Linked DNA regions of Anolis sagrei. The protein of the gene in region 3 purifies or fractionates together with the protein of the main gene of each other region. This does not show direct contact. Links are inferred from orthologs where the notes say so. Each region holds a gene or a part of one and is shown on either strand. Other genes may lie near its edges. The genes, in order: DYRK2, CEP78, DCAF1 and COPS4.

Region 1 (7,585 bases), on a different chromosome or scaffold from region 3:
CTGCCCTTCTCCACCTTCCATAAATAGATCATCATGCTTGAGAAGTTCCCTCCCTTGTAGCAGATTAGCTGCAACTTGAAGATTATGTGAGAAACCACAGCCTTGCAAATAATGCCAACACCTGTTTCCCTAGTGAATGGTGTTTACAAGGGCAGTGTCACACTCCAGCCTACTTTACTGTCTCTGGCTGTTCCACTGGAAATGGATCATCAGGTCTGGGGTGGTCTAACAACTAGTCTAAAATCAGGACAGTAAAGAAAGAGCAACACCCAAAAAGCAGGGAAATCCAGACAAGAATCAATCAAGGCCAGCTAACGTCTCCCAACAAAGAATCCCCCCCCCCCGACAGCAACTTGCCAGACTTTGAAGCTGCAAGGCCATTCAAAGCTAATCAAGGTGGCCAATTCCAACATTCACACTTGCCTCAAGCAGACAAGAGTTCTTTCTCCCACCCTGGACATTCAACAGATATATAAACCCCAGTTGCCTTGTTTCCAACAGATCCCTCAACCTCTGAGGATGCCTGCCATCAATGTGGGTGAAACATCAGGAGAGAATGCTTCTGGAACATGGCCATACATCCCGTAAAATTCACAGCAACCCAAAATAAGAACTTTTCTTTTAGTTCTGAGAGGTGAATCCTTTGTCATAAAACGACTAACTACATCTTCCAGAAACACTCTTATAACCACACTGCATTGACTAGACTGTACCAAAAACTTGTTGAGAAAATGACAGCCACCAGAAAGATGACCAAACCAGCAGTGGCTTTTCAGTCCAGCCACAAGGACCGTTCTTTCTCACCTCGTCAACCTCCTGAGCAGGCCCCTTTTTATTTTCCTTTGTTTCAAATCCATCACCCAGCACTGAAATCTTGAATGAGCCTCAGAGAGAAAGATGCAAAAGCCTCCTCCAGTTGTGATGTGAGCGATGCAACACCCTTGCATGGCTCACACAGGTGACCTGACTGGAGGGCTCCATCTCTCCTTGCCAAAGTGGCCCAGAGCGTTCATCAGTCTCCAGAGCGCCTCCAGACCTTGCTTCTCCCCTCTTACCCTTCTGCCCCTCTACAACGAAATCACAAGTACCTGTTGAAACCAGACAGGGAAGAGGACTAGGACGTGTTGAGACATGCCGGCGGTGGCGGGGAATTAATGGGGCTCCTCCATGCCCTGGAAAGCAAGCTCATGCCCACCTCCCACTCAGACAGGCTGGCTGGCAGCCTGACTGTACCTTGCAGATTGCTTGCTATTAATACCCAGGAAAGGAGGAGAAGGAGGAGCAGAAGCAATTGGGGGAGGCAGTGGAGGGGGGGGGGCTTATGAGTGGCTGGCATTCAAGTCTTCTGGGGATGGATGGGAGGGAGGAGGGTCCAAGGTTGGCACGGGGGGGGGGAGAGCAGAAGCAATTGGGGGAGGCAGTTGGGGGGGGCTTATGAGAAGCTGGCATTCAAATCTTCTGGGGATGGGGATGGAGGGGAGGGAGAGAGAGATAGAGCGAGGGAGAGTCCAAGGTTGACACTGAGCAGATCATATATATATACCCATCCCTCCAAAGCCCCCACCCTTAAATCCCGGCCTCGCTCTTCCTCACCGTGTGGGCAGCGCTGCTGGGCTTGAGCGGCGGCAAAGCGATGGGCGAAGGCGGTCCAGCGGTGCCCGGTCCGGCCCGGGAGGCCCCTCCGGCGCCGAGGCCTGGCGAAGGCTGGCACTGGAGGGCGCCCTCCCCTCCTCCTCCTCCTCCTGCTACTGCCCTGCTGCCTGAGGAGGGAGAAGAAGCCAGAAGAGAGAGGCTAAAGAGGAGAGCCTGAGAGGGTCCAGGAAGAGGAAGTGGGGGGGAAACACAACAGAGGGAGCCCCCCCGCCCCCTCCTCTATTGCGGAGGGGTGGGGGATGGGGTGCTCGCGAGGGGAGGGAGGGGCGATCCCTTCCCCTCGGGTCAACCTTCCTTCATCCACGGTCAACCCACACGCCGCAGAGGCAGAAGGGAGAAGCCAGGGGGGATTTGAGTGGCGTGCAGTCCCCTCCTCCCTCCCCCCTCCTTTCTCCGCTTGGTCTGGGGCCTCGATGGCAGGGAAGGGTCTTCACGCAGAGCCCGATCCAAGGCCAGCCCAGGAACCCCACTCCAAGTGGGTTTTTGCCTGTCCCCGTTTCCCTCAAGGGGGGAAGAGATGACCCTGCAACGCCGACTATAGAAGCGTCGCTGTCCTCTAGGAGCCCTTCCACACAGCCCTATAGCCCAGAAGATCAAGGCAGAAAATGCCACAATATCGGAGTGTGGACTTAGGGCCCTTCCACACAGCCCTATAGCCCAGAAGAACAAGGCAGAAAATGCCACAATATCTGCTTTGAACTGGGTTATCTGAGGGCCCTTCCACACAGCCCTATCTCCCAGAAGATCAAGGCATAAATCCCATATTATCTGAATGTGGACTCAGTTCAAAGCAGATATTGTGGGATGTTCTGCCTTGATATTCTGGGGCTGTGTGGAAGGGCCCTAAGTCCACATTCAGATCTTCTGCCTTGATCTTCTGGGATATAGGGCTGTGTGGAAGGGCCCTGAGTCCGCACTCAGATATTGTGGCATTTTCTGCCTTGATCTTCTGGGGCTGTGTGGAAGGGCCCTAAGTCCACATTCAGATCTTCCGCCTTGATCTTCTGGGATATAGGGCTGCGTGGAAGGGCCCTAAGCCCACGCTCAGATATTGTGGGATTTTCTGCCTGGATCTTCTGGGCTGTAGGGTTGCCCTTGGACCTGCGGCGCCGGGCCTTCCTCCAAGGGCCTTTCCCACTGGGGGCTGGGCCCCGCTGCCCTGTCCAACCCCTCGCTCAATCTCACCAGCAGCAGCGGCTCCTCCAGCCCCGGCAGCAGGTTTCCTGGTGGTTAACATGGCCGCTGGTGGGGAAGGACTGGGGAGCGCATCTCAGGGCTGCTGCTGCTGCTGCTGCTGCTCCGCCTGCGCCTCCTCCTCCTCCGCCTCCTTCTCTTCCTCCTGGCGCTCCTCTCCTCCGCGCTGGGCGCCGGCGTTGCCTCGCGAGCCCCCAGGCCCCGGCCCCTCCGCGGCATCCGTCCCCCAAGAGCCCGGGCCCGCCGCCGGGCAGAAGCAGCCCCGCGCGCCCCGCCCGGCCTCGGCCTCCGCTCTCTCCTCCTTCCCCTTCTCCTCCTCCTCCTCCTCCTCCTCCTCTCCTCCTTGCTCCGGAGGCACCAAAGGCATCACCCGGGCAGCGTCCAGGGTCCCCCGGTGCCTTCGCGGGAGGAAGGGGAGGGGGGCGGCAGCATGAGGGGCTCCCTTCTTCCACCTCCCTCCCTCCCTCTTGCCTTCCTTCTCGTTCTCCTCCCCTTCAGAGAGACAAACACAGGCGGAGCGACCGCCTCGAGCCCAAGGAGGGAGGGGGGCAGCCAAGTTAAGCCCCGCCCCCTCGCCCTTAGCCCCGCCCCTCACACTTTCCCCGAACCCTCTCCTCTCACTCCCTGGCTCGGATCTGACAGAATGGCAGCCCCTCCCCGGCGCGACACACTCTCCCCTTCAAAGAGGCAAACACAGGCGGAGCGACCGCCTCGAGCCCAAGGAGAGGGGCTAGCAAGCCAAGCCCCGCCCCTCGCCCTTGGCCCCGCCCCTCACACTTTCCCCGAACTCTCTCCTCACTCACTGGCTTGGATCTGACAGAGTGGCAGCCCCTCCCCGGCCCTGGATTGAATTGAAAGGCGAGGGAGGCGGCGATGTGCAGCCCCTCCCTCTTCCCTTCCTCCTCCTCCTTCTCCTCCTCCTCCACACACGTAGGCAGTGGCTACTGCTCGCCCCGGGCCACGCAAAAGAGGGGGAAGAGGGTGCTCGCCTCAGGCCCTTTCTCCTTTCCCCCCCGCGGCGCCTTCACTTTGTGAGAAGAGAGAGCGGCCGTCGACGAGAAACAAAAGATTTCAGATTGTAGGGAGGCCAAATAACGTGGGGCACGTCCTGAAAGAGAAAAGGAGCCGCTCTTCCAAATGGGGCGCGAGGCCATAGAAGGAGGGGGCGAGGAGACGCAATCAGCATCCTAACAATAGTAGTATTTCCTGCCCAAATCTCCTCGTGGCTCGAGGCGGGTTACCACATCATAGAATCATAGAGTTGGGAGAGACCTCATGGGCCATCCAGTCCAACCCCTTGCCTAGAAGCAGGAAAATCGCATTCAAAGCACCCCCGACAGATGGCCATCCAGTCTCTGCTTAAAAGCCTCCAAAGAAGGAGCCTCCACCACACTCCAAGGCAGAGAGTTCCACTGCTGAACAGCTCTCACAGTTGGTTCTTGTGGGTTTTTTCGGGCTATATGGCCATGTTCTAGAGGCATTTCTCCTGACGTTTCGCCTGCATCTATGGCAAGCATCCTCAGAGGATGCTTGCTATAGATGCAGGCGAAACGTCAGGAGAAATGCCTCTAGAACATGGCCATATAGCCCGAAAAAACCCACAAGAACCTAGTGATTCCAGCCATGAAAGCCTTCGACAGCTCTCACAGTTCTCCCTAATGTTCAGTGGAATGTTCTTTTCTGTAGTTTGAAGCCATGTTTCTGCATCCTAGTCTCCAGGGCAGCTGAAAACAAGCTTGCTCCCTCCTCCCTATGACTTCCCCTCACATATTTATACATGGCTATCATGTCTCCTCTCAGCCTTATCTTCTGCAGGCTAAACATGCCCAACTCTTTAAGCCGCTCCTCATAGGGTTTGTTCTCCAGACTCATGATCATTTTAGTCACCCTCCTCTGGACACATTCCAGATTGTCAACATCTCCCTTCTATTGCAGTGCCCAGAATTGGACACAGTATTCCAGGTGTGATCTAGCCAAGGCAGAATAGAGGGGTAGCATTACTTCCTTGGATACAGACACTAGATTCCTATTTATACAGGCCAAAATCTCATTGGCCTTTTTTTTTTTTTTGCCACCACATGACATTGTTGGCTCATGTTTAACTTGTTGCCCATGAGGACTCCAATATCTTTTTCACACATACTGCTATCGAGTCACACATCCTCCATTCTTTGCATTTCATTTTTTTCTGTCTAAGTGGAGTATTTTGCATTTGTCACTGTTGAACTTCATTTTGTTAGTTTTGGCCCATCTCTCTAATCTATTAAGATCCTTGTGAATTCCGCTCCTGTCTTCTGGAGTATTGGCTCTCTCTCCCAATTTGGTGTCGTCTGCAAACTTGATGATCATGACTTCCAACCCTTCATCTAAGTCATTAGGAGCCCCCAGTGGCGCAGTGGGTTAAACCCCTGTGCCGACAGGACTGAAGACCAACAGGTCGCATGTTCGAATCAGGGGAAAGCGCAGAGGAGCTCCCTCTATCAGCTCCAGCTCCTCATGCGGGGACATGAGAGAAGCCTCCTACAAGGATGATAAAACATCAAAAACATCTGGGCGTCCCCTGGGCAACGTCCTTGCAGATGGTCTATTCTCTCACACCAGAAGCAACTTGCAGTTTCTCAAGTCGCTCCTGACACGACAAAAAAAAAATCCAAGTCATTAATAAAGATGTTGAACAGGACCGGGCCCAGGAGGGAACCCTGTGGCACTCCACCCATCACTTCTTTCCAGGATGAAGAGGAAGCATTGGTGAACATCTGGTGAGGAAGCCTTGGTGAGCACATCTCTAAAGATGAAACATCTCTGATGAAGGTCAGGTCTAGGACAGAGTGGGGAAAGATGGACTGGATTTTCCTCTGGAGAAAAAAGGCTAGACCAGGCATGGGCCAACTTGGGCCCTCTGGGTGTTTTGGACTTCAACTCCCACCATTCCTAACAGCCTCAGGCCCCTTTCTTTTCCCCCTCAGCCGCTTAAGTCCAAAACACCCAGAGGGCCTAAGTTTGCCCATGCCTAGGATAGACCCTGGAAAAATCAAGGGAAGCTTCATTCTATCATTATTATTCTATCATAATCTTGTAACTGAGATGCAAGGTGGACTCTTAGCAGGTTATTTTTGAAGCCACACTGAGAGGATGCCCATTGCCCAACCTAAGTGACCTCTTCTAAGGCTGTAGAAGTGTCTTTCTCTATGGGGAAATCTTGCTCTGTGTTCCTTCTCCAGAGCCCAAAGGAGAAAACCTCTCACCCCCCTTCTTTGCCTGCTACTTGAAGGAATCCCTCCCTCTCTTCGTGGGCGGAGAGTTGTTTATAAACAATGCACTGGAAAGGCAGAAGGAAGAACTTCCTTCTGAAACTCTAGAGAGAAAGAGAAAAAAAACTTTAGTGTGAGATAAGCAGGGAACAGGGAGGATGATAAGTTATCTCTTGTCCTTCTTTGGGTTTGTGCTTTCCCTTTCGAAAGAGGGCAAAGGAAAGCTTTGGAGGCAGCATAGTGTAGTGGTTTGAATGTTGGGGTGTGGGACATCCACATGCCCAATGTCTTCTTGGCAAGAGTTGTCCAGAAGGGGTTTCTTGCGACCCTCCTCAGAAGTCAAGAGTGTGGCTTGCCCAATGTCTCCAGGTGGGTTTCCAATATGATTTGAGACTGGAGCCCTGTTCTCCAGAGTCATAAGGTATATCTCTCTAAACTGTAATATGAAGACAGTTTGACACCACTTTAACTTCCTGGAGGTAATGCTATGGAATGCTGCGGATTACAGTTTGATGCAGTTTGATCTCTCCCATCAAGTGCTCTTTGGAAGAGATGTCTAAAGCCCTTGAAAACTGCCATCTTCTGTGAATCCATAGCATTGAGCCACGGCAGTTAAAGGTTTTTTTTTCATTTTTGAGAAACTGCAAATCACTTCTGGTGTGAGAGAATTTGCTGTCTGCAAGTATGTTGCCCAGGGGACGTCAGGATGTTTTACCATCCTGTGGGAAGTTTCTCTCATGTCCCGGCATGAGGAGCTGGAGCTGACAGTCAGGAGCTCACCCTGCTCCCTGGATTCAAACCACCAACCTTTCCGTTAGCAGTCCTGATCATTGTGCCACCACATGAAATTGCATTCATTCTACACTGTAGATCAGGTAGGTGCAAATTTCGGCCCTCAGGAATTGTGGGAGTTGAATCCCAAAACACCTGGAGGGCTAAAGTTTGCCCATTCCTGCTGTAGATGCACCTTATGACTCTGGAGAGCAAGACGTGAATCTCCTATAAACCACAAAAACCCACATTAGGTATGTCACACACTCTTGGCCTCGGAGGAAAACAATGGCAAAGCTCTTCTGGACAAATTGTGTCAAGAAAGCCCTGTGATAGTTTTGCCTTAGGGTAGCCCTAGGTCAGACATGACTTGAAGGCACATGGCAACAGCAAAAGAAATGTAAAGAGGGAGATCTTGTTCCTTTAACAAAACATACTCTTAATAAAACACAAATATTCCCATTGTGGAAATGAATAAAAGTGTAAGCAGTACAACACTTACTCCAGCAATTTGCCAAATGCTAACTATTGAGTGAGCATGTTTCTTTTAAACTTACTGTATATGTGGCAGATAGGAGTGGTCCATTTATAGGATTGCTGAAGGGAGAGGGAGATAAGGATGTGCTGGTGAAGAAAGAAGGAAAAAGCAGCTGTCTCAGTCTAGATAAGTAAGAGGCAAGACTGGTAACTATGCAGAATAAGGAACCCCTAAAGAA
Region 2 (7,577 bases), on a different chromosome or scaffold from region 3:
TTCAGCTGCTTTGCACTTTAATCAAGATATAAAAATGGAATATAAATAAAAATAAATACACTAATAACAATATATAAATATATAAAAGACACAACAGAACCAAAAAGCTTCAGAAGGATTAAAAGAAGCATAGTATCAGATGGGCCTTGTTTTGTGAAGCAATCTAAATGTAAATTGTAGATTTACAAAAATTATAGATTAAAAAAAAGATTTACAAAACTGCTATGAGACGTTCTTGCTCAGTGGCCAGAAAATGAGGAAAGGTTACTGAGCGTAGCTTGCTGACTATTATAGAGTAAGAATAGTCCCCAGAAAATTCAAGAAATAACATAGTAAAATACAAAACATGTAAAAGACACAGTGGAGCCAAAAAAGCCCCAGAAGAATTAAAATAACAATAATATTATCGTCCTTGTGAAGCCAAGTCTGTGGAAGCAACTGAAATCCACTCTTACCTACTTTAGTCCTTGGCTTTGCTATGCCAGGTGTAATTAATCCGGCATGCTAGTTGTGCGTCGTGGTATTTAACAACATATCCATTCAAGTATGCATGATAATGCCTTTTTCCCCTAAATGGATTAAGAATATATTCCATCCAGTGGTCAGCATAATAAAGACTCCAGAATCATAGTAAAGTAAGTGAAGTCGTCTCAATGTGGCTGGAATCCTTTGGGTTAATTTCTCCTGAAGTTGACCCATTGAGGAAAACTAGTCCGGACTAAGAAAATGATTTAGTTTTGTCCCTAAATGTTATATCTGTTGCTTATGCTATAACCACTCATTTGTTATAGTGAAAGACTATAGAACAGGCATGGGCCAACTTGGGCCCTCCAGGTGTTTTGGACTACAACTCCCACAATTCCTAACAGCCTACCAGCTGTTAGGAATTGTGGGAGTTGTAGTCCAAAACACCTGGAAGGCCCAAGTTGGCCCATGCCTGTTGTATAGTGTGGTGCCAAGTGATATTTCAAAGATACTTCTTTTTATATATATATAAAAAATAATGTATACATCCATGTTGTAAATGTGTGTTGTAAATATTGTGTATTTGTACAGAAAAGACTCAATATGTTTACTTGACATTCTCCCCCCCCCCTTTCATGTAAAAGCACAGTGGAGAGATGTCCGCCTCGTAATAATACATTTTATCCCAATAATCATGAGTAAAACCCAAAAAACTATGGAAAAAAATTATTCTCGCAGCCATATTTCAATAAACCGTGGAAGTGTTTCAACTGTTATGTTCCCTTTGTTTCAAATGGGTATTTTTGGATAATCAGAAAAAGAGATTTTACATGAAATTAGTATAGATTTCTTCTGTTTTTATGTTTGAAATTTGTGGCCTGCTTTTGAAGACATTGAGTGTTTCTACGCTATAGAATTAATGCAGTTTTGACACCACTTCAGCAAAATCACAAATGGGTCTCGATTTATCTGCAAAGAACAAGTTTTTCAGTGCTTCCAGTCATTTTAATTGTATGTTTTAATTCTATTTAAATATCTGTATATTTAAATATCTGTATAACTGATTTTTTTAAAAAAAATACTGTGGGTCTTTGTGGGATATAAATATTCCTAATAATAATAATAATAATAACTCCATGAAAGGAAAGGAAAAGAGAAGGGAGGGAAGAAAACAAAACTCCATGGACAGTTTCTGGCAAAAATTGAGAGCCAAATTGACAAAGAAAAAACATGGCTGTGGCTCACAAATGGAACTTTGAAAAAGGAGACAAAGAAGGGCCTGATTCTGGAAGCCCAAGAACAAGCCATTCGAACCAATGCCATCAAAGCCAGAATTGAAGTCGACAACAGATCCCAAATGTAGACTCTGCAAGGAAGCAGATGAAACAATAGATCACATTCTCAGCTGCTGCAAGAAGATTGCGCAGACAGACTACAAGCAGAGGCATAACACGGTTGCTCAGATGATTCATTGGAACTTGTGCCACAAATACCATCTGCCAGATTACAGGTTCGAATCCAGAGAGAGCATGGATGAGCTCCCTCTGTCAGCTCCAGCTCTCTATGTGGGGACATGAGAGGAGCCTCTCACAAGGATCGTAAAAATCCGGGTGTCCCCCTAGGCAAAGTCCTTGCAGATGGCCAATTTTCTTACACCAGAAGCGACTTGCAGTTTCTCAAGTTGCTCCTGACATGAAAAAAAACTTGCCCTGATTGATTCTTTTCTAGAATTCCCCTGCTTTTTGAGTGTTGTGCTTTATTTACTGTCCTAATTCTAGAGGATTTTTTAAATAGTGCTAGCCAGATTTTTTTTCATTTTCATGGTTTCCTCCTTTCTGTTGAAATTGTCCACATGCTTGTGGATTTCAATGGCTTCTCTGTGACATGGTGGTGTGAGAGTGGTCCAGCATTTCTGAGTTCTCAAATAAGATGCTGTGTCCAGGTTGGTTCATCAGGCGCTCTGCTGTGGTTGACTCCTCTATTTGAATCAGTCTGCAGTGTCTTTCATGTTCCTTGATTCGTGTTTGGGCAATGATGCGTTTGGTGGCGCAATGGATTAAACCCTTGTGCTGGCAGGACTGAAGACTGACAGATCAGAGGTCGAATATAGGAAGAGCTTGAGTGAGCTCACTTTGTCAGTTCCAGCTCCTCATGCAGAGACATGAGAGAAGCTCCCCTCTGTCAGCACTAGCTTCCCTACCAACCTAGCAGGAATTGTGGGAGTTGAAGTCCAAAACACCTGGAGGGCTCAAGTTCGCCCATGCCTGAGTTAACCTATTGCGGCGCCGCAAATAAATATAGCTTATTAATTATAGTAAATATTAAATAATATGCTATAAATAAAATAAATAAGAATTTTTCCTGTCTCTGTGAAAAGTCCTCAGCCCATAATATAGAATGTTTGGGTTGTTGTAGGTTTTCCAGGCTATATGGCCATGTTCTAGAGGCATTTTCTCCTGACGTTTCGCCTGCATCTCTGGCAAGCATCCTCAGAGGTAGTGAGGTCTGTTGGAAGTAGGAAAATGGGATTATATATCTGTGGAATGACCAGGGTGGGACAAAGGACTTTTGTCTGCTGGAGCTAGGTGTGAATGTTTCAATTGACCACCTTCATTAGCATTTAATGTCTTGGAAGTGCCTGGGGGAATCTTTCTTTGAGAGGTGATTTGATGTGTTAAATAATATGTTATAAATAAAATAAATAAGAATTATTCCTGTTTCTGAAAAGTCATCAGCCCAAAATATAGAATTTTTGGCTTTCCTACTTTTTCTCTCTCTCTCTCTATAATTATAACTATAAATAAAATAAATAAGAATTTTTCCTGTCTCTGTGACAAGTCCTCAGCCCAAAATATAGAATATTTGACATCCCTACTTTAATACACACACACAAATATATATAGTAGGAAAGTCAAAATATTATAAATAATATTATAAATAAAATAAATAAGAATGGTTCTTGTCTCTGTGAAAAGTCCCCATATATATATATATATATATATATATATATATATACACACACACACACACACACACATACATATACATACATACACACACACAATATTATAAATAATATTATAAAAATATTATAATCTCAGATTAGGAATTCCCCATCCCAAGTCCTAGAAGCACTTTAGTACAATTAATATTGCTGCACACCAGACTATTTTAACCCTACGTGCCTCCTGCCATTTCAGCACTTTTAACCCTGTACCCCATTGCTCTGGCCGGCCCAGTTTTAAAGTATCCTGATGTATTGTCACTGTTGTTATTCTGCTTAACTATTTTGATTTGCTTTGTTTATTGTTGTGTTATGTTTTTACTGTATTGTGTTCTGAGGCTTCGGCCTGTGTAAGCCGCATCGAGTCCCTCGGGAGATGCTAGCGGGGTACAAATAAAGTTAATAATAATAATAATAATAATAATAATAGATAAAATAAATAAGATTTTTTCCTGTTTCTATGAAAAGTCCTCAGCCCAAAACATAGCATATTTGGAATCCCTACTTTAATATATACACACACACGCATATATATAGTAGGAAAGCCAAAATATTATGAATATTATAAATAAAATAAATAAGAATGGTTCTTGTCTCTGTGAAAAGTCCTCAGCCCCAAATATAGAATGTTTGGCTTCCCTACTTTCTTATATATTATATATTCTTATATATTATATATTCAAATATATATCCCTTTATAATAAGGAATTTGTGAAATGCAAGCTTTCCCGCCATCTATTTAAATTAACTAAGAATGGCAAAATAAGGGGAGGAGCGTTAGATTCAAAGGGGGCGTGGTTTTACGGGATGGCCAATCATGTGGCACCTTTCAACGCATCACGTGACGACGGTAGCGGCAAGGGGGTGGAGTTATGTCTGAGGAAACAAGGGAATGGGAGGGGGAAGAAAAGGGCCGCGTTTGTACGGACCGACCAATCAGAAGCTTCGCTTATGAATCACGTGGGAGGACTACAAAAAGGGGCGGGGTTATGTGTGAGGAAAAGAGCAAGAATGAAAGTGTCTGTAGAGAGGAAAGGGGCGTGTTTTGGTGGTCCCGCCCCCTTCCTCTCCCTCTCTTCCAATCAGAGCCTCTTCTCCGCGTCACGTGGGAGGGTGGGAGTAGGAAAAGGGCAGTTGGGGAACCAAGGCAACGGTTACCACACGCGCGAGGGGGAGGAGCCTAAGCCAGCCTTGGATGTTTTGGCCTCCTGCTTGTAAGTAACCAAATAGGAGTAGCATTGTATTGGCTTTGAATGGCTTCAGCGTGGTTTAAATGCCTATCTCTTTGGAATGTGTCCAGAGGAGAGTGACTAAAATGATAAAAGGTCTGGAGAACAAGCCCTATGAGGAGCGGCTAAAGGAGCTGGGCATGTTTAGCCTGAAGAAGAGAAGGCTGAGAGGGGATATGATAGCCATGTATAAATATGTGAGAGGAAGCCACAGGGAGGAGGGAGCAAGCTTGTTTACTGCTTCCCTGGAGACTAGGACAAGGAACAATGGCTTCAAACTACAAGAAAGGAGATTCCATCTGAACATGAGGAAGAACTTCCTGACTGTGAGAGCCGTTCAGCAGTGGAACTCTCTGCCCCGGAGTGTGGTGGAGGCTCCTTCTTTGGAAGCTTTTAAGCAGAGGCTGGATGGCCATCTGTCAGGGGTGATTTGAATGCAATGTTCTTGCTTCTTGGCAGGGGGTTGGACTGGATGGCCCATGAGGTCTCTTCCAACTCTTTGATTCTATGATTCTTTTAATATATATGTTTGCAATGGTTTTATGTTATTACTCTATGCATTTAAAGGCTTTATCTATTCATTTTAATTAATTTAATTTAATTTAAAGCTTTGAGGAGAGAGGATAAGAATTCAACCTTATTGTATTGTCTAAGGATGTCATGCCTGGAATCACTGGGTTGCTGTGAGTTTTCTGGGCTGTTTGGCCATGTTCCAGCAGCATTCTCTCCTGACATTTCGCCCACATCCATCGCAGGCATCTTCAGAGGTTGTGAGGTTTGTTGGGAAACTAGGAAAATTGGGTTTATATATCTGTGGAATAATGTCCAGGGTGGGAGAAAGAACCTTTGTCTGTTTGAGGCAAGTGTGAATGTTGCCTCAAACATAGATTCAGGCAAAATGTTAGGAGAGAATGCTTCTGGAACATGGTCATAACATCCCGAAAAACGTACAGCAACCTATTCAAACTTATTATATGTGTGTAGTAGTAGTAGTTAAAATGACATTAATGATATATTTGTGTTTGTTTTCCTCCTTTTTAGTGTTGACTCTCCAGAAATGATCGAATCAGTCCAAATAAGGAGGCAGTGCAGCCTGGACTTTTACTCCCATTATGAGCACCTGTGTGCAGTTCAAGGCTGCGCTCCCCTCGTGTCCGTGCAGGCCAAAAAGCCTGAAGGCGTGATTGATATAAACGCAGACCGTATCAAAGGTGCAGACTGGTTGCCTCTCCTGGCTGCGCTCAGGCACAACAAGACCTTGACTTCGATCGCCATCAAGAGCTTGCACCATCAGGGACATGCAGACCCAGGTAGGGACTCTTTCAATGGCAAAGCATCATGCTATCTTTGTTGTCGAAGGCTTTCATGGCCAAATCACTGGGTTACTGTGAGTTTTCCAGGCTGTAGGGCCACGTTTCAGTAGCATTCTCTCCTTATGTTTGGCCTGCATTTGTTGTTGGCATCTTCAGAAGTATGAACCCCTGGTGTTGCAGTGGGTTAAACCCTTGTGCCGGCAGCAGGGAAGACGGACAGGTTGGAGGTTTAAATCAGGGAAGAGTAGGAATGAACTCCCTCTGTCAGCTCCAGCTCCCCATGCGGGGACATGAGAGAAGCGTCCCTCAAAGATGGTAAAACATCAAAACATCCAGGCATCCTCTGGACAACGTCCTTGCAGACAGCCAATTCTCTCACACCAGAAGTGACTTGCAGTTTCTCAAGTCACTTCTGACATGAAAAAAAATCTTCAGAGGTCTGTTGGAAATGAGGCAAGTGGGGTATATGTCTGTGGAATGTCCTAGATGAGAGATAGAATCCTTGTCTGTTTGAAGCAACAACGACCAGGCTTTGCAACTGCAAGGCTACTCAATGCTCATCAAGCTGGTTAATTGCATCATCCAAACTTGCTTCAAACAGCCAATCGATCCAGCTGAAAATGAATCTGATTGCAAAGATGAAATGGCATGATGGGTTGCCACGGTAAAAATTTTATTTTATTTTATTTATTTGCAACATTTATATGCCACCCTTCTCACCCCGAAGGGGACTTAGAGCAGCTTACAAGATATATATATATACATACAATATAGTATATTATTAGCATGGTACAATATCAGTATTAAATATTACTATATTGTACTATACCATTATATTGTAATACTAGGCATCCCCTGCCACGCATTGCTGTGGCCCAGTCTGTGTATATGTATTGTGCATGTGTATATATGTGTGTGTGTATATGTATATATGTGTTTTTGTGCATGCGTTGTAATGTGTTTTTTTTTTAAAAATTGACTTCTTACGGGCTTTGATTATGTTTTCTTGCCCAGGTGAAGGGAGTTGGACTGGATGACTTTAAGTATTTTCTGTTGATCATGGAGGTTCTGTGTGGGAAGTTTGCCCAAATTCTGTCATTTGTGGGGTTCAGAATGCTCATTGATTGTAGGTGAACTATAACTCCCAGTAACTACAACTCCCAAATGTCAAGGTCTATTTCCCCAAAGCCCATCTGTGTTCATATTTGTGCATATTGAGTATTCATGCCAAGTTTGGCCCAGATCCATCATTGTTTGAGTCCATAGTGCTCTCTGGATGTAGGTGAACTACAACTCCCAAACTCAAGGTCAATGCCCACCAAACCCTTCTAGTGTTTTATGTTGGTCATGGGAGTCCTATGTGCCACGTTGGGTTCAGTTTCATCATTGGTAGAGTTTAGAATGCTCTTTGATTGTAGGTTGATTATAAATCCCAGCAACTACAACTCCCAAATGACAAAACCATTTTTTGAGTGATGGTCACTCCTTGGGTTAGTAGGTGTATTGGGTCCAAATTTGGCGGCAATTCATCCAGTGGTTTTTGAGTTATGTTAATCCCACAAATAA
Region 3 (7,113 bases):
CTTGTGTCCTCTTAACTACCCAAACTTAAAAGAATTGAAAGTGAGACTGTCTATGTAGGCTGTCATTTACTTGTTCATAGTTTTCATTGAGTTCTGAGGGACAAAACCAAAGAGCTACAATTCAGAATACAGGTAAGGGAAAATCCAAATCATAGAGTTGGAAGAGACCTCGTGGACCATCCAGTCCATCCACCTGTCAAGAAGCAGGAAAATCACAATCAAAGCACTCCCAACAGATTGCCACCCAGCCTCTGCTTGGACTGGATGACCCATGAGGTCAGAAAATCACAACAGAACAGAGAAGGTGACAGATGTAGTCACATATGCTGCTTCTAGATGTGGTGTCCAGATATATCTCTTCTACTGTACAAATTATTAGATGCTATTTACTTCAATGGGATATGTGTAAAAACTCTTATTCTATAGGATCAAAATAACTGCCTTCTCCCTGCCTGGTATTTCTGGTCAAACCTGTACAAAAAGGTCTAAACACAGAACACTGCCATTTATCTATGTACTTATTACATCTCCTCAGAAATCTACAGTACAATTGGACCTCTAGAGCTATAGTTTCAGCAACCAAAGACTCCATGGCTTGAAAATATTTTTAAATTCCCAAATACAAATCTTTATTTTGCCATTTACACCACTTTACTAGAACCTTGCATAATGAGACTTGAGCATCCATGGGTTTCAGTATTCATGGAGAGTCCTGGGATCAAACCTCAGTGGAATTTTCCAAACATGCTTGTGGTAATAACAATGATAAGTAATGATATTCCTTGGAGAAAATAATACATAACTTCTATATGCGCAGCACACACATTTGCCAATACAAAATGAAAAAGGAATGTATGGGACAAGCCATCTTTTTCAGAAATTGTTTGTTATGTTGAAACTAGAAATAGTAGACCTGAAGCCAATTCGAGTTTTGAATGGAAAGGTGGACAGTGACAGTCCACTGTCAAGGTAAAAGCATTTCCCTCATATACACAGATGTCACCTTATGATCACCTTTCAGGGTCCACTTTGGGTATTCGAAGGTGCATTACATTGTAGAATGAATGCAGTTTGACACCACTTTAATTGCCGTGGCTCAATTCTGTGAAATACTGGTATTTGTACATTTGTGGGCAGAGAAATCTAAAAACTTGTAAAACTATAGCTTCCATGATTCCATAGCACTGAGCCATAGCAGTTCAAAATGTGTCTAGCTTCTTTAACGATACAGTGCAGATGGACCCAAACACGATTTCCAGGGCAATGTCCTAACTCCACATTAATCCCTCCTATTCCTGGATCACGTGCAAAAAAGAGCAAGAAGGGGCTTCAAGCAGTTAAATCTCCCCAGGAAGTTGACACTCAGGGCTTCATCATCCCTCCCCTACAAACAGAAGCCAAAGATATGGAGGGGAGAGAGCAGGGATAAGACAGAGAGGTCAAATGATGCTGGCATCAGAAAATACTAGAAGCTAGGAGAAACCAGTTAGAAGAAGAAGCAATGGATTCAAACTGCAAGAAAAGAGATTCCACCAAAACATTAGGAAAAAAACTTCCTGGTGGTAAGAGCTGTTAGGCCAGGCATGGGCAAACTTCGGCCCTCCAGGTGTTTTGGACTTCAATCCCCACAATTCCTAACAGTGGCTGCTAGGAATTGCAGGAGCTGAAGTCCAGAACACCTGAAGAGCCAAAGTTTACCATGCCTGTGTTAGGCAGTGGGATATACTAAATCAGAGTGTAGTGGAGTCTCCTCTGGAGGTTTTTAATTATAGGCTGGATGGCCATCTGTTGAAGGTGCTTTGAATGAGTATTCCTGCATGGCAGAAGGGGGCTGGGCTGGGTGGCCCTTGAGGTCCTTTCCAAGTATGGTTCTAGGACAGGCATGGGCAAACTTCAGCCCTCCAGGTGTTTTCGACTACAACTCCAATTCCTAACATCATACCAACTGTGTTGTCGAAGTCTTTCATGGCCAGGATCACTGGGTTGCTGTGAGTTTTCCGGGCTGCATGGTCATGTTCCAGAAGCATTCTCTCGTGACGTTTCTCCCATATCCATGGCAGGCATCCTCAAAGGTTGTGAGGTGTGTTGGAAACTAGGCAAGTGGTGTGTGTGTGTGTGTGTGTGTGTGTATGGAATGTCCAGGGTGGGAGATAGAATTATTGTCTGCTTGAGGCAAGTGAGAATGCTGCAATTGATCGCCTTGATTTAGCACTGAATAGCCTTGCAGGTTCAAGGCTTGGCTGCAGGGCTACAACTTCTGAGAATGCCTGCCACAGATGTGGGCGAAACGTCACGAGAGAATGCTTCTGGAACATGGCCATACAGCCCGGATAACTCACAGCAACCCAGCCTAGCGGTTGTTAGGAATTGTGGGAGTTGTAGTACAAAGCACCTGGAGGGCCGAAGTTTGCCTATGCCTGTTCTGGAAGGAGGAGGAGGGGAAAGAATAAGGATCCGCTTTGCCCCAGGCTGGTCGCCCTTTGACCTCCCTGTGAGGCCTTTTAGGGGCGGAGAGAGAAAGGGGGCGGGCGAGAGAAAGAGAGAGAGAGAGAGGACCATTGAGGGAGACCGGCTTCCTCTTCCACGCGTGTTCAATGGTGCCCGAGCCAAGCGAGAAAGGGGAGAGAAAGGCTCAACCCCATGTGAACGCGCTCTGGATCGCGGCCAGGGCTCAGATTCCCCACTACAAGCCGGAGGAGAGAGAGAGGGAGGGAGGGAGGGAGGGAGGCGGGCTGAGGAACACATGGGCGCCCCTTGCCAGCAGCCGGCCTCCTTCCGCCTGTCACCGGCCTCAACTCCTCGGCCCGGCGCCTCCTCCCTCCCTTCCCCGTCCTCTTCCCTTCCCTCGCGGCCCTTACCTGCCCGGCCTTCCGCCGCCTCGTCGCCTCGCCTCGGCCTCCTCCTCCTCCTCCGCCTTCCTCCGGGCCCCACGCACCGTCGCCCGGCGGCCGCTCTGCCTATGGCGGGCACACACTTGGCGCGTCACCGCCCGCGAGCGCCGTCGCCCCCACCACACGCGCGCGCGCTCTCGCTCATCAGTCGCCGCCGCGCCGCCAGGGAAGCCGGGAAGTGTAGTCCGGGCCCAGTGCGCATGCGCCAAGGCTACCGCATGGTCTGCCTTCGTCACCATAGCAGCCGCCTTCTCATTCCCGTAAATCATTTCGGGAGCCAGGATTTCGTTTCGGGGGGGGGGGGGGCTTTTTTCAGGGTGGGTTTCGGGGGGGGGGGGCTGAGCCTGAGTGAAAGAGGGTCTAGCCTAGCAAACCTTTTGTATCATTACCCCAATACCCCCATGCATATGAGATATATTGAGTATGGTGATCAGATCATGATATGAATAAACATAACAGTTTAAATAATGCACCAGGAAGGCCTTTTCGCGAACCACCATGAGAATTTCGGGGGTGGGGGGGGCCTGAAGCCCCTCAAGCCCCCCCCCCCCCCCCGGCTACATGTCTGTCGAGAGCCGTAGTCTTCTCTCCTTCCAAAGGACTTTCATGTATTTATTTACGACATTCATATGCCGCCCTTCTGACCCCGAAGGGGACTCAGAGCGGCTTACAAGTTTTATGTAATACAATATATTATTAGCATAGCGCAATATTAGTACCATACAATCCCATATTGTACCATGCGACTATACTGTAATATTATTAGTAATATTACATGTAATATTAAATATATAATTTTATTGTTTTATTATTAGTATTATATTGTATTCAGCCTCAGCAGACTGAAAGCCAAAACCAAGGTCACAACAACATCTGTTATAGAACTCCAGTATGCTGATGACAACATCATCTGTGCACATTCAGAAGAAGACCTACAAGCCACTCTAAACACCTTCGCAGAAGCATACGAGAAGCTCGGCCTGTCATTGAACATTGAGAAAACCAAAGTGCTCTTCCAGCAGTCACCAGCCAATCCCTCTCCAATGCCAGAAATACAGCTTAATGGTGTAAGACTAGAAAATGTTGACCATTTCCACTACCTTGACAGCACCTCTCCACCAAAGTCAACATTGACACTGAAATACTACACCGCCTGAGCTCGGTGAGTGCAGCATTTTTTCGAATGAAGCACAGGGTGTTTGAGGACAGGGACATACTTAAGGATACCAAGGTACTTGTTTATACCAAGGTACTATTGTCCTCCCAACCCTGCTATATGCCTGCGAGACGTAAACTATCTACAGACATCACATGCAACTCCTGGAACGATTCCATCACTGTTGCCTCCAAAAAATCCTGCAAATCTCTTGGAAAGACAAGCAGACAAATGTCAGCGTGCTGGAAGAAGCAGAGACCACCATCATTGAAGTGATGGTCCTCTGCCATCAACTCCGCTGGATCGGCCACGTTGTCCAGATGCCCAAACACCGTCTCCTAAAGCAGTTACTCTACTCCGAACTCAAGAACGGAAAACGGAATGTTGGAAGACAGGAAAAGAGATTTAAAGATGGGCTCAAAGCCAACCTTAAAATCTCTGGCATAGACACTGAGAACTGGGAAGCCCTGGTCTTTGAACACTCCAGCTGGAGATCAGCTGTGACCAGCAGTGCTGTAGAATTCAAAGAGGCATGAACGGAGGGTGAAAGAGAGAAATGTGCCAAGAGGAAGGCACATCAAGCCAACCTCAACCGGGACCGCCTTCCACCTGGAAACCGATTCCCTCACTGTAGGAGAACATATGTGAGTCAAGAATAGGGCTCCACAGTCACCTACGTACCCACCGCCAGGACACCGCACTTGGAGGACAATCTTACTCGGACATTGAGGGATCGTTTAAGTAAGTAAAGTGCATATCAATATTACATGTGTATACAATATAGTATATTATTAGCACAGCACAATATTGGCATTACATATTACATTACATATTACTATTTCGTACCACTATGCTGTAATATTATTAGCAATATCACATGTAATATAAAATATATAATTCTTAAATTGTATTATTACATTGTAATATTATTATCAATATATATGTATACAATATACTATATTATTTTACTGATACTTTGGAAAAGGCATGGGCAAACTTTGGCCCTCCGGGTGTTTTGGACTTCAACTCCCACCATTCCTAACAGCCTACTGAAGTTTGCCCATGCCTGTTTGGAAGGAGTGTTCTTGTTATTGTAAAGTTATGATCTAAGTTTACAGTGCATTCTGTGAGATAGTCTTCAGTTACAAGCATTAATACATATCCTTTTTTGTGTGTGTCAGGAGCAACTTGAGAAACTGCAAGTCGCTTCTGGTATGAGAGAATTGGCCGTCTGCAAGGACGTTGCCCAGGAGATGCCTGGATGTTTTGATGTTTTATCATCCCTGTGGGAGGCTTCTCATGTGCCTGCATGGGGAGCTGGAGCTGACAGAGAGAGCTCATCTGTGCTCTCCCCAGATTCAAACATCAGTCCTGCTGGCACAAGGGCTTAACCAATTGCACCACCAGGGACTCCAATACATATCCATAATACTGGTTGATGAAGCCTTATCAGAAATGCTTGGAACCAAAAATATTTTGGGTTTTTTTTTCTTTTTAAAATAATTAAATATTTGCATATACATTTTCTTTTCGTGTCAAGAGCAACTTGAGAAACTCCAAGTCGCTTCTGGTGTAAGAGAATTGGCTGTCTGCAAGGACGTTGCCCAGGGGACGCCCAGATGTGTTACCATCCTGTGGGAAGCTTCTCTCATGTCCCCACTTAGGAAGCTGGAGCTGACAAACAGGAGCTCACCCCACTCCTTGGATTCGAACTGCTGGCCTTATGGCCAGCAATCTTGCCGACACAAAGGTTTAACCAATTGCACCACTGGGGGCTTCTACTGCATATACATAATGAGATATCTTGGAGATGGGATTCAAGTCTAAATGATACATGATTTCTGCTCTGTTAAACCACAGTTTTGGATTCCTGGCATGCCTGGGCTCCAAAGTTTCAAACCACACAGGATGAAGGCAAGGATCAGAGGCTTTATTCACTGATTGGTGCAAGTTGGTGCTGGCTACAATCTGCGTACTGATTGGTGGAGGTGCACCGTCCACCTGATTGGACTCCTTGTCTGACAGGAACTTTAATAAAGGAATATAGACAGGTTAAAGGGTGATAATCCTGCCAGTTCAGATGACACAGTGGAACTAAGCCAGCAAAACAATGGGCGACAATGAGTTTTGGCACACCTGGATGGATTCTCAGGAAGAGACAAAGGCAGGGTGCTTGATGACTCCATGATATTTCCTGCTGGTCAGAGATGGGTTTATTGTGAGATGTAAGGCCCGTCGCAAACTAGGTTTCTGCTGGAGAAATCCTTGCTAGCAAGTCCCTGACGTCATGAGCCTGCGCCTCTCTCCCCGCCCCTTTCTCCGCCCCTTTCTCTTTGCGAGCGTGGTTTTTCCTTTGCTAGGGCAGCATTGCCCGCATTTTCTCTCAGTTGAATTCAGCCAACTGAGAGAAAATGCGGGCAATGCTGCCCTAGCAAAGGAAAAACCACGCTCGCATGGAGAAAGGGGCAGAGAAAGGGGCGGGGAGAGAGGCGGAGTCTCGTGACGTCAGGGACATGCTAGCAAGGTTTTCTCTCGCAGGAACAGAGTTTGCGACGGCTCTAAGAGTTTATTGTAGCAAGGAAAAGGATGGTCATGAGAGATTTTGTCATCTGCCTGAAGGAATAATGAGATTTGCCCTGTGTTCCCACTCCAACTAAGAACTGAACCAAAGGTCACCTCTGAATGTTAGCCTTACCATTCTGCTGAGGGAATTCGCTGGTGAGATCCTTCCTGGCATCTTCGTTGGCCGTGTGCTTTAGGGTCTTTTGGGGTCCCTGGGTTGTAACAACATAAACACAAAACTACTGCACATCTAATGCACATGTCTGAAACTAATTTTATACACAATAGTTGTTGATAATTTTGTGCATGAACAAAGTTGGGGTACATTGAAATATCAAAAAGCATCTTGACTCCCATGTGAACAATTTGGGATTTTGGACCATTTTGAATTTCTGGGATACTCAACCTGTATTTCTTGGGCCCCATCTGCACTGCCATATAATATATTTTGAAACTGCATGGTATGTTAGTGTTGATCTGGCCATAGTTAGATAAAATGTCTGA
Region 4 (6,985 bases), on a different chromosome or scaffold from region 3:
GTTAAAAACATGACTTGCTGGAAAGAAAATAGTTATTTTTAACACTTTGAAAACCAGTATCTTACTCCTATTTCCTACTGCTCACTGTATAGACAAGGCAGGAGTACAAATGTATCAATAATTTAATCATTAAACAGGGTAAATCAACCAGTAAATTCCATCTGAGATGGAGATTACATCCTAACAACTGTTCAGCTGAGGGGTTAACATTATTATTTTAATATCATTTTGATAATGTTGTTGCTGTCCATTGTATATGTTTTGATTTTATTGCTGTATTATGTTGTCCAGGCTTGCCCCCATGTAAGCCGCTCCGAGTCCCCATCGGGGAGATGGTAGCGGGGTAGAAATAAAGTTTATTATTATTATTATTATTATTATTATTATTATATGTATCCACCACCAAGACACTACAATTGAAAGGCCAAAATACTCGGACAATGAGGGATAACCTAAGTAAGTAAGTAGGATCTGATGCGGAGGAACAACAGCAAAGTGCTATAGGTGACACCATATTTGTGTCCACTGACTGCACCTGTTTATTTCCTAGAAAGTCTCCACAGATCAGATGGTGATGCCTCATGGGAATACTATGTTGGGAATACTATGTTTAGTACCATAGGTTTAATAAAGGGCAAGCGGTGGCATTTGAGAAGGTGACACATACTGATCCTGATGAGTAGAGATGCAACCTCCTTCAGGGTAGGGAATGTAGCTGGGATTTTAATAATAATTGAAGAATAATTGGAATAATTGAAGGACACTGAAAAGCAAGATTTTGCTCAATTTATAAACACGTTCAACTTAGTAATTGTCTTAGAGAAAGCCTTTTGGTTGCAGTGGGAGAAATTGTTTTGAAAGATGGTTTGCTGTACATAAAACTCTCAAGGATAATAGGTTCAAGAGCAAGGAGAAGGGGAAACGATAACACCACATGCAAAGGGCATTAACAGCTGGGGATGTAAAAATAATTAATAGAAGAGAAGGAAAATGTTTGCTTGGCTAAGTGGAGGTAGGATGTTGACAAAATGTGATGAATCCATAGTGAATTAGAGAACCTGGAAGATGAAAAGGGACCCAATAAAGCAGTATTTTTTTTGGAGGGGGTCTCAGTGAGATTGCACACACACATGTTGAGATGTGTGTATGACTGTCTAACTTTTACAGGGTTTGGGTTTTTTCGGGCTATATGGCCATGTTCTAGAGCAGTGTTTCTCAACCTGGGGGTCAGGACCCCTGGGGGGGTTGCGAAGCTGTGTCAGAGGGGTTGCCAAAGACTATCAGAAAACACAGTAATTTCTGTGATCATGGAGGTTCTGTGTGGGAACTTTGGCCCAATTCTATCATTGGTGGGGTTCAGAACGCTCCTTGATTGTAGGTGAACTATAAATCCCAGCAACTACAACTCCCAAGTGTCAAGATTCTATTTCCCCCAAACTCCACCAGTGTTCACATTTCGGCATATTGAGTATTCTTGTAGAGTTTGGTCCAGATCCATCATTGTTTGAGTCCACAGTGATCTTTGGATGTAGGTGAACTACAACTCCAAAACCAAAGGACACTGCCCACCAAACCCTTCCAGTATTTTCTGTTGGTCATGGGAGAACTGCGTGCCAAGTTTGGTTCAATTCCATCGTTGACGGGGTTCGGAATGTACTTTGATTGTAGGTGAACTACAAGTCCCAGCAACTACAACTCCCAAATGACAAAATCAATTTTTTGAATGAAGGACATAAATTGGGTTGTTAGGTGTATCGTGTCCAAATTTGGTGCCAGTTGCCCCAGTGGTTTGTGAGTTCTATGGATAGCACAAACGAACATTACATTTTTATTTATATAGATTATTATTATTCATTCTACAGTGAAGATGGGCAAGGGACGGGCCAGGCCGTGTTTAAACCACTGAATCAATGCCTTCCCTGGGTTGTTGTAGGTTTTTCGGGCTATATGGCGATGGTCTAGAGGCATTCTCTCCTGACGTTTCGCCTGCATCTATGGCAAGCATCCTCAGAGATAGTGAGGTCTGTTGGAACAAGGAAAAAGGGTTTATATATCTGTGGAATGACCAGGGTGGGACAAAGAACTCTTGTCTGCGGGAGCTAAATGTGAATGTTTCAACTGACTACCTTGATTAGCATTTCATGGCCTGACAGTGCCTGGGACAATCTTTTGTTGAGAGGTGATTAGATGTCCTTGTTTGTTTCCTCTCTGTTGTTTAGCCGTTGTAATTTTAGAGTTTTTTTTTAGTACCGGGAGCCAGATTTTGTTCATTTTCATGGTTTCCTCCTTTTTGTTGAAATTGTCCACATGCTTGTGGATTTCAGTGGCTTCTCTGTGTAGTCTGACCTCACTACCTCTGAGGATGGCTGGAATCACTCAGTTGTTGTAGGTTTTTTTGGGGGCTATATGGCCATGTTCTAGAGGCATTATTTCCTGACGTTTTGCCTGCATCTGTGGCAAGCAAATTAAAAACTCTAAAATTAAAACAGCAAAACAGCAGAAGGAAAACAATCAGGGACATCTAATCACCTCTCAACAAAAGATTGCTCCAGGCACTTCCAGGCCATCAAATGCCAATCAAGGTAGTCAGCTGAAACATTCACACCTAGCTGCAACAGACAAGAGTCCTTTGTCCCACCCTGGTCATTCCACAGATATATAAACCCCTTTTTCCTAGTTCCAACAGACCTCACTACCTCTGAGGATGCTTGCCATAGATGCAGGCGAAACATCAGGAGAGAATGCCTCTAGACCATGGCCATATAGCCCGAAAAAACCTACAACAACCCAGTGATTCCGGCCATGAAAGCCTTCGACAATACAATGCCTTCCCTTCCCTTTTTGCGAGCTTCTCCTGCCCCGCTCCGCCTTCCCTCATCGAAAACCAAGAAGCCGTCGCTTACTTCCCGGCTAAATCCTTGTGGGAGCCGCTGGAGCTCATGAGCTGCGTCAACTCCTGCCTCACCGCCGCCGCCATTTTTCTTTTCTACACTTCCGGTGAGGGAAAAATAACCACGCCCCCTCCGTCGCCTCAGAAACCAATGAGGGCGGACTCTGCGTCATTCTCGAGCGCGCGCGCGTACACGCACGCACGCACAGTGACGCTTTCAACCCGGAAGTGGCTGTGTTTTTGGAGAAGGCGGGAGAAGAGTGATGACGCCGAAGCCGTTGCCAAGACGGCGGCGCTGCCGAGCTATTATGGGATGCGGCGGAATGGCGCTGGGCGCGTGATTTTGAACAAACACGGAACCGGGAGAAGGAGAGAAGGGAGAGGAGGAGGAGGAGGAGAGAGCGGAGGCGGGGGAGAGAGGGCTGCGCTTCTGGCCGCGAGGGTTTAACGGCAGCCTGAGGGCGAAGGAAGGCCTGGTGCTCGGAGGAGAAGCCTGACGGGAAACGCGCCCTGGAGTGACAGGTGCCTCATATCAACTGCATTACGGGACAGGGTAAATACACCAGGCCTGGGCCAACTTGGGCCCTCCCTCCCTCCAGGTGTTTTGGACTCCAACTCCCACAATTCCTAACAGTAGGGAAATACACAAGGCCTGGGCCAACTTGGGCCCTCCCTCCAGGTGTTTCAACTCCCACAATTCCTAACAGCCGGTAGGCTGTTAGGAATTGTGGGAGTTGGAGTCCAAAACACCTGGAGGGAGGGCCCAAGTTGGCCCAGGCCTTGTGTATTTACACTGCCGGCTGTTAGGAATTGTGGGAGTTGGAGTCCAAAACACCTGGAAGGAGGAAGGGCCCAAGTTGGCCCAGGCCTAATCCATACTGCACACCGTGTAATTTTTCCCTGTGGACAATCTGTTGTTTTTGCAGGAGCATATCTGACACATCAACTGAAACCATACATTCATTTTGGCATTTAAATAGGACACATGCTTGTTGATAGCTCCAAAACTTGTTAATCACTCCTTGATTGTTGATTGTGGGTGTTATGAGTTTTGACCGGGACAGAGCCCTGTTAAACCCCTGTGCCGGCAGGACTGAAGACCGACAGATTTTTTTTTCCAAATTTTGTTACCTAGTGTAATATGAGATAACCTCTTTATCTGTACTCATTCTATTGATTTCTCCGTGCTACTTCCACTTCCCATAGCATTGGTGCCACATAAACGTGAATTGAGGATTTTAACCCCCCCCCCCCCCCCGTGGCACAGTGGGTTAAACCCTTGTGCCAGCAGGACTGAAGACCAACAGGTCAGAGGTTCAAATCGGGGAAAATGAGGGTGAGCTCCCTCTGTCAGCTCCAGCTCCCTATGCAGGGACATGAGAGAAGCCTCCCACAAGGATGATAAAAACATCAAATCATCTGGGCATCCCCTGGGCAACGTCCTTGCAGACGGCCAATTCTCTCACACCAGAAGCAACTTGCAGTCTCTGAAGTCGCTCCTGACACAACAACAACCAAAAAAAAACCCAGGGACAGAAATTTATTATTTATTAATTATTTATTTATTTCCAGTATTTATGTACCGCCTTTCTCACCCTTGGGGGGACTCGAAGCAGTTTACACATAAATAATGGCAAAATTCAATGCCTTACATTGGGCACCGATACGATGCCAATACAAACAAATAGCATATTTAATGTATTGTCGAAGGCTTTCATGGCTGGAATCACTCAGTTCTTGTGGGTTTTTTCGGGCTATATGGCCATGTTCTAGAGGCATTTCTCCTGATGTTTCGCCTGCATCTATGGCAAGCATCCTCAGAGGTGAGGTCTACTGGAAATGGGAAAAAAGGGGTTTATATATCTGTGGAATGGCCAGGGTGAGACAAAGGGGCTTTTGTAAGTTGGGCTGGGTGTGAATCTTTCCACTGACCACCTTGATTAGCATACAATGGGCTGACAGTGCCTGGAGCAAACTCTTCTTGAAAGGTGATTAGATGTCCCTGCCTGTTTTTCTCCCTGCTGTTTTGCTGTTGCAATTTTAGAATTTTTTAATACTGGTAGCCAGATTTTGTTCATTTTCATGGTTTCTTCCTTTCTGTTGAAATTGTCCACATGTTTGTGGATTTCAATGGCTTCTCTGTGTAGTCTGACATGGTGGTTGTGAGAGTGGTCGAGCATTTTTGTGTTCTCAAATAATATGCTGTATCCAGGTTGGTTCATCAGGTGCTCTGCTATGGCTGACTTCTCTGGTTGGAGTAGTCTGCAGTGCCTTTCGTGTTCCTTGATTCGTGTTTGGGCGCTGCGTTTGGTGGTCCCTATGTAGACTTGTCCACAGCTGCATGGTATATGGTAGACTCCTGCAGAGGTGAGAGGATCCCTCTTGTCCTTTGCTGAACGTAGCATTTGTTTGATTTTCTTGGTGGGTTTGTAGATAGTTTGTATGTTGTGTTTTCTCATCAGCTTCCCTATGCGGTCAGTGGTTCCCTTGATGTATGGCAGGAACACTTTTCCTCTGGGTGGATCTTCATCTTTACCGTACTCTCGTGGCTTGTTCTTGGTCTTGAAGCTCTCCTGATGTCTGAGGTGGAGTATCCATTGGCCTGGAGAGCCCAGTTGAGGTGGTTCAGTTCATCTTGGAGGAGGTGGGGTTCACAGATTCTTTTTGCACTGTCTGTCAAGGCTTTAATGGTGCTTCTTTTTTGACTTGGGTGATGGTTGGAGTTTTTATGTAGATATCTATCTCTGTGTGTGGGTTTTCTGTAAACTGTGTGATCCAATTGTTGATCTGGTTTACGGATGACTAGGACATCTAGAAAAGGCAGTCTTCCTTCCTTTTTCCATAGTGAACTGGATGTTAGCATATTTGCTCCTTGATTGTTGATCATGGGTGTTGTGTGTTTTGACAGAGCCAGAAATAGCATTAAGCAACTGGTGAAACCAAAACAAAGGCTCTGCTATAAAGGGAAGTTTTACAAATCAGCACTAAAGGTTACCATTAGAAATAATATAAGAAGCCCCCCCCCCCAAGTATTTGGCAAGAATCAGATGTGTATTTTTTTGTATCAGGAGCAATTTGAGAAACTGCAAGTTACTTCTGGTGTGAGAGAGTTGGCCGTCTGCAAGGACGTTTCCCAGGGGGATGCCCAGGTGTTTTTGATGTTTTGCCATCCTTGTGGGAGGCTTCTCTCATGTCCCCACATGGGGAGCTGGAGCTGACAGAGGGAGCTCATCTGCGCCCTCCCCGGAATGAGATGACTGTTCAAGAATACAGTCCCAGAATATGCCAACAGAAACATTTCCTTGTATTGTCGAAGGCTTTCATGGCCGGAATTACTGGGTTCTTGTAGTTTTTTTCGGGCTATATGGCCATGTTCTAGAGAAATTCTAACATTTCCAAAACATGCTACGTACTAAGAACTGACTGCTTTGGAGTGTGGTAGAAGCTCCTTCCTTGGAAGCTTTTAAACAGTGGACGGATGGCCATCTGTTAGGGGTGCTTTGATTGTTTTCCCTGCATGGCAGGAGGTTGGACTAGATGACCAGTGTAGATTAGGCATGGGCCAACCTTTGTCACTCCTGGTAATGTCTGAGAGTAGAAAGCCCAAAAGGGGAAGTAGTTTGAAGTTGGCATGAAGAGTGGGAAGAAGGAGGCATGACAGCTCTTATAAGGGAGGGAAAGCCAAACACATTGCTTTCCCTTTCTCCTTGGTTTCCTTTGACAGGACTCGTCCAGCTGGCTTGTGGGAAGGGAAGGGACAGGGTGGGCGGGTGTGGGATGAAGGGGTTGGCTGCCGTAGTTTCTGCCCTTCCCTGTCCTGTTCCACATTCTCCTCCCCCTGTTTTTATTAGGAACTACTGCTTCAGGTGCTGAGCCAGTGGTGTAAGCGTAATAGCATTTTGATGGAAGATTGAGGCATGATTGTTAGGGTTGGAATGAGTATAGGAAGCCTTGGCATGGCAGGAGAAACAGGAAAACTCTAGCTGATATTTAGCCTCAAGTGGCTGGCATGTTGCTGAGCCAGGTGATGAGGAGGTGGGGAAGGAAAACATCACTTCTGCTGACAGACTGTCGAGATTTAGTGTCATAGGTTCA

Evidence for each region.
Region 1: the proteins of DCAF1 (region 3) and DYRK2 purify together in Homo sapiens (affinity purification with western blotting; 5 studies listed by BioGRID and IntAct, with this or other methods). This does not show direct contact. The link is inferred for Anolis sagrei from reciprocal best matches to the Homo sapiens genes DCAF1 and DYRK2.
Region 2: the proteins of DCAF1 (region 3) and CEP78 purify together in Homo sapiens (affinity purification with western blotting; 3 studies listed by BioGRID, with this or other methods). This does not show direct contact. The link is inferred for Anolis sagrei from reciprocal best matches to the Homo sapiens genes DCAF1 and CEP78.
Region 4: the proteins of DCAF1 (region 3) and COPS4 purify together in Homo sapiens (affinity purification with mass spectrometry; 4 studies listed by BioGRID, with this or other methods). This does not show direct contact. The link is inferred for Anolis sagrei from reciprocal best matches to the Homo sapiens genes DCAF1 and COPS4.

What each region holds. Positions count from the first base shown.
Region 1 is NC_090025.1:142,756,776-142,764,360, reverse strand, and holds the start of DYRK2 (dual specificity tyrosine-phosphorylation-regulated kinase 2), read right to left. Parts: upstream 3,010-7,585; 5' UTR 2,891-3,009; coding exon 2,839-2,890; intron 1,761-2,838; coding exon 1,594-1,760; intron 1,213-1,593; exon of another isoform or gene 1,134-1,212; coding exon of another isoform or gene 1,089-1,133; intron 1-1,088. UniProt on the Homo sapiens protein: Serine/threonine-protein kinase involved in the regulation of the mitotic cell cycle, cell proliferation, apoptosis, organization of the cytoskeleton and neurite outgrowth. Functions in part via its role in ubiquitin-dependent proteasomal protein degradation.
Region 2 is NC_090025.1:190,094,684-190,102,260, reverse strand, and holds the start of CEP78 (centrosomal protein of 78 kDa), read left to right. Parts: upstream 1-4,559; 5' UTR 4,560-4,683; intron 4,684-5,739; 5' UTR 5,740-5,755; coding exon 5,756-6,008; intron 6,009-7,577. UniProt on the Homo sapiens protein: Centriole wall protein that localizes to mature centrioles and regulates centriole and cilia biogenesis. Involved in centrosome duplication: required for efficient PLK4 centrosomal localization and PLK4-induced overduplication of centrioles.
Region 3 is NC_090022.1:70,977,794-70,984,906, reverse strand, and holds the start of DCAF1 (DDB1- and CUL4-associated factor 1), read right to left. Parts: upstream 3,018-7,113; 5' UTR 2,859-3,017; intron 1-2,858. UniProt on the Homo sapiens protein: Acts both as a substrate recognition component of E3 ubiquitin-protein ligase complexes and as an atypical serine/threonine-protein kinase, playing key roles in various processes such as cell cycle, telomerase regulation and histone modification.
Region 4 is NC_090025.1:17,418,246-17,425,230, reverse strand, and holds the start of COPS4 (COP9 signalosome complex subunit 4), read right to left. Parts: upstream 3,008-6,985; 5' UTR 2,978-3,007; coding exon 2,904-2,977; intron 1-2,903. UniProt on the Homo sapiens protein: Component of the COP9 signalosome complex (CSN), a complex involved in various cellular and developmental processes.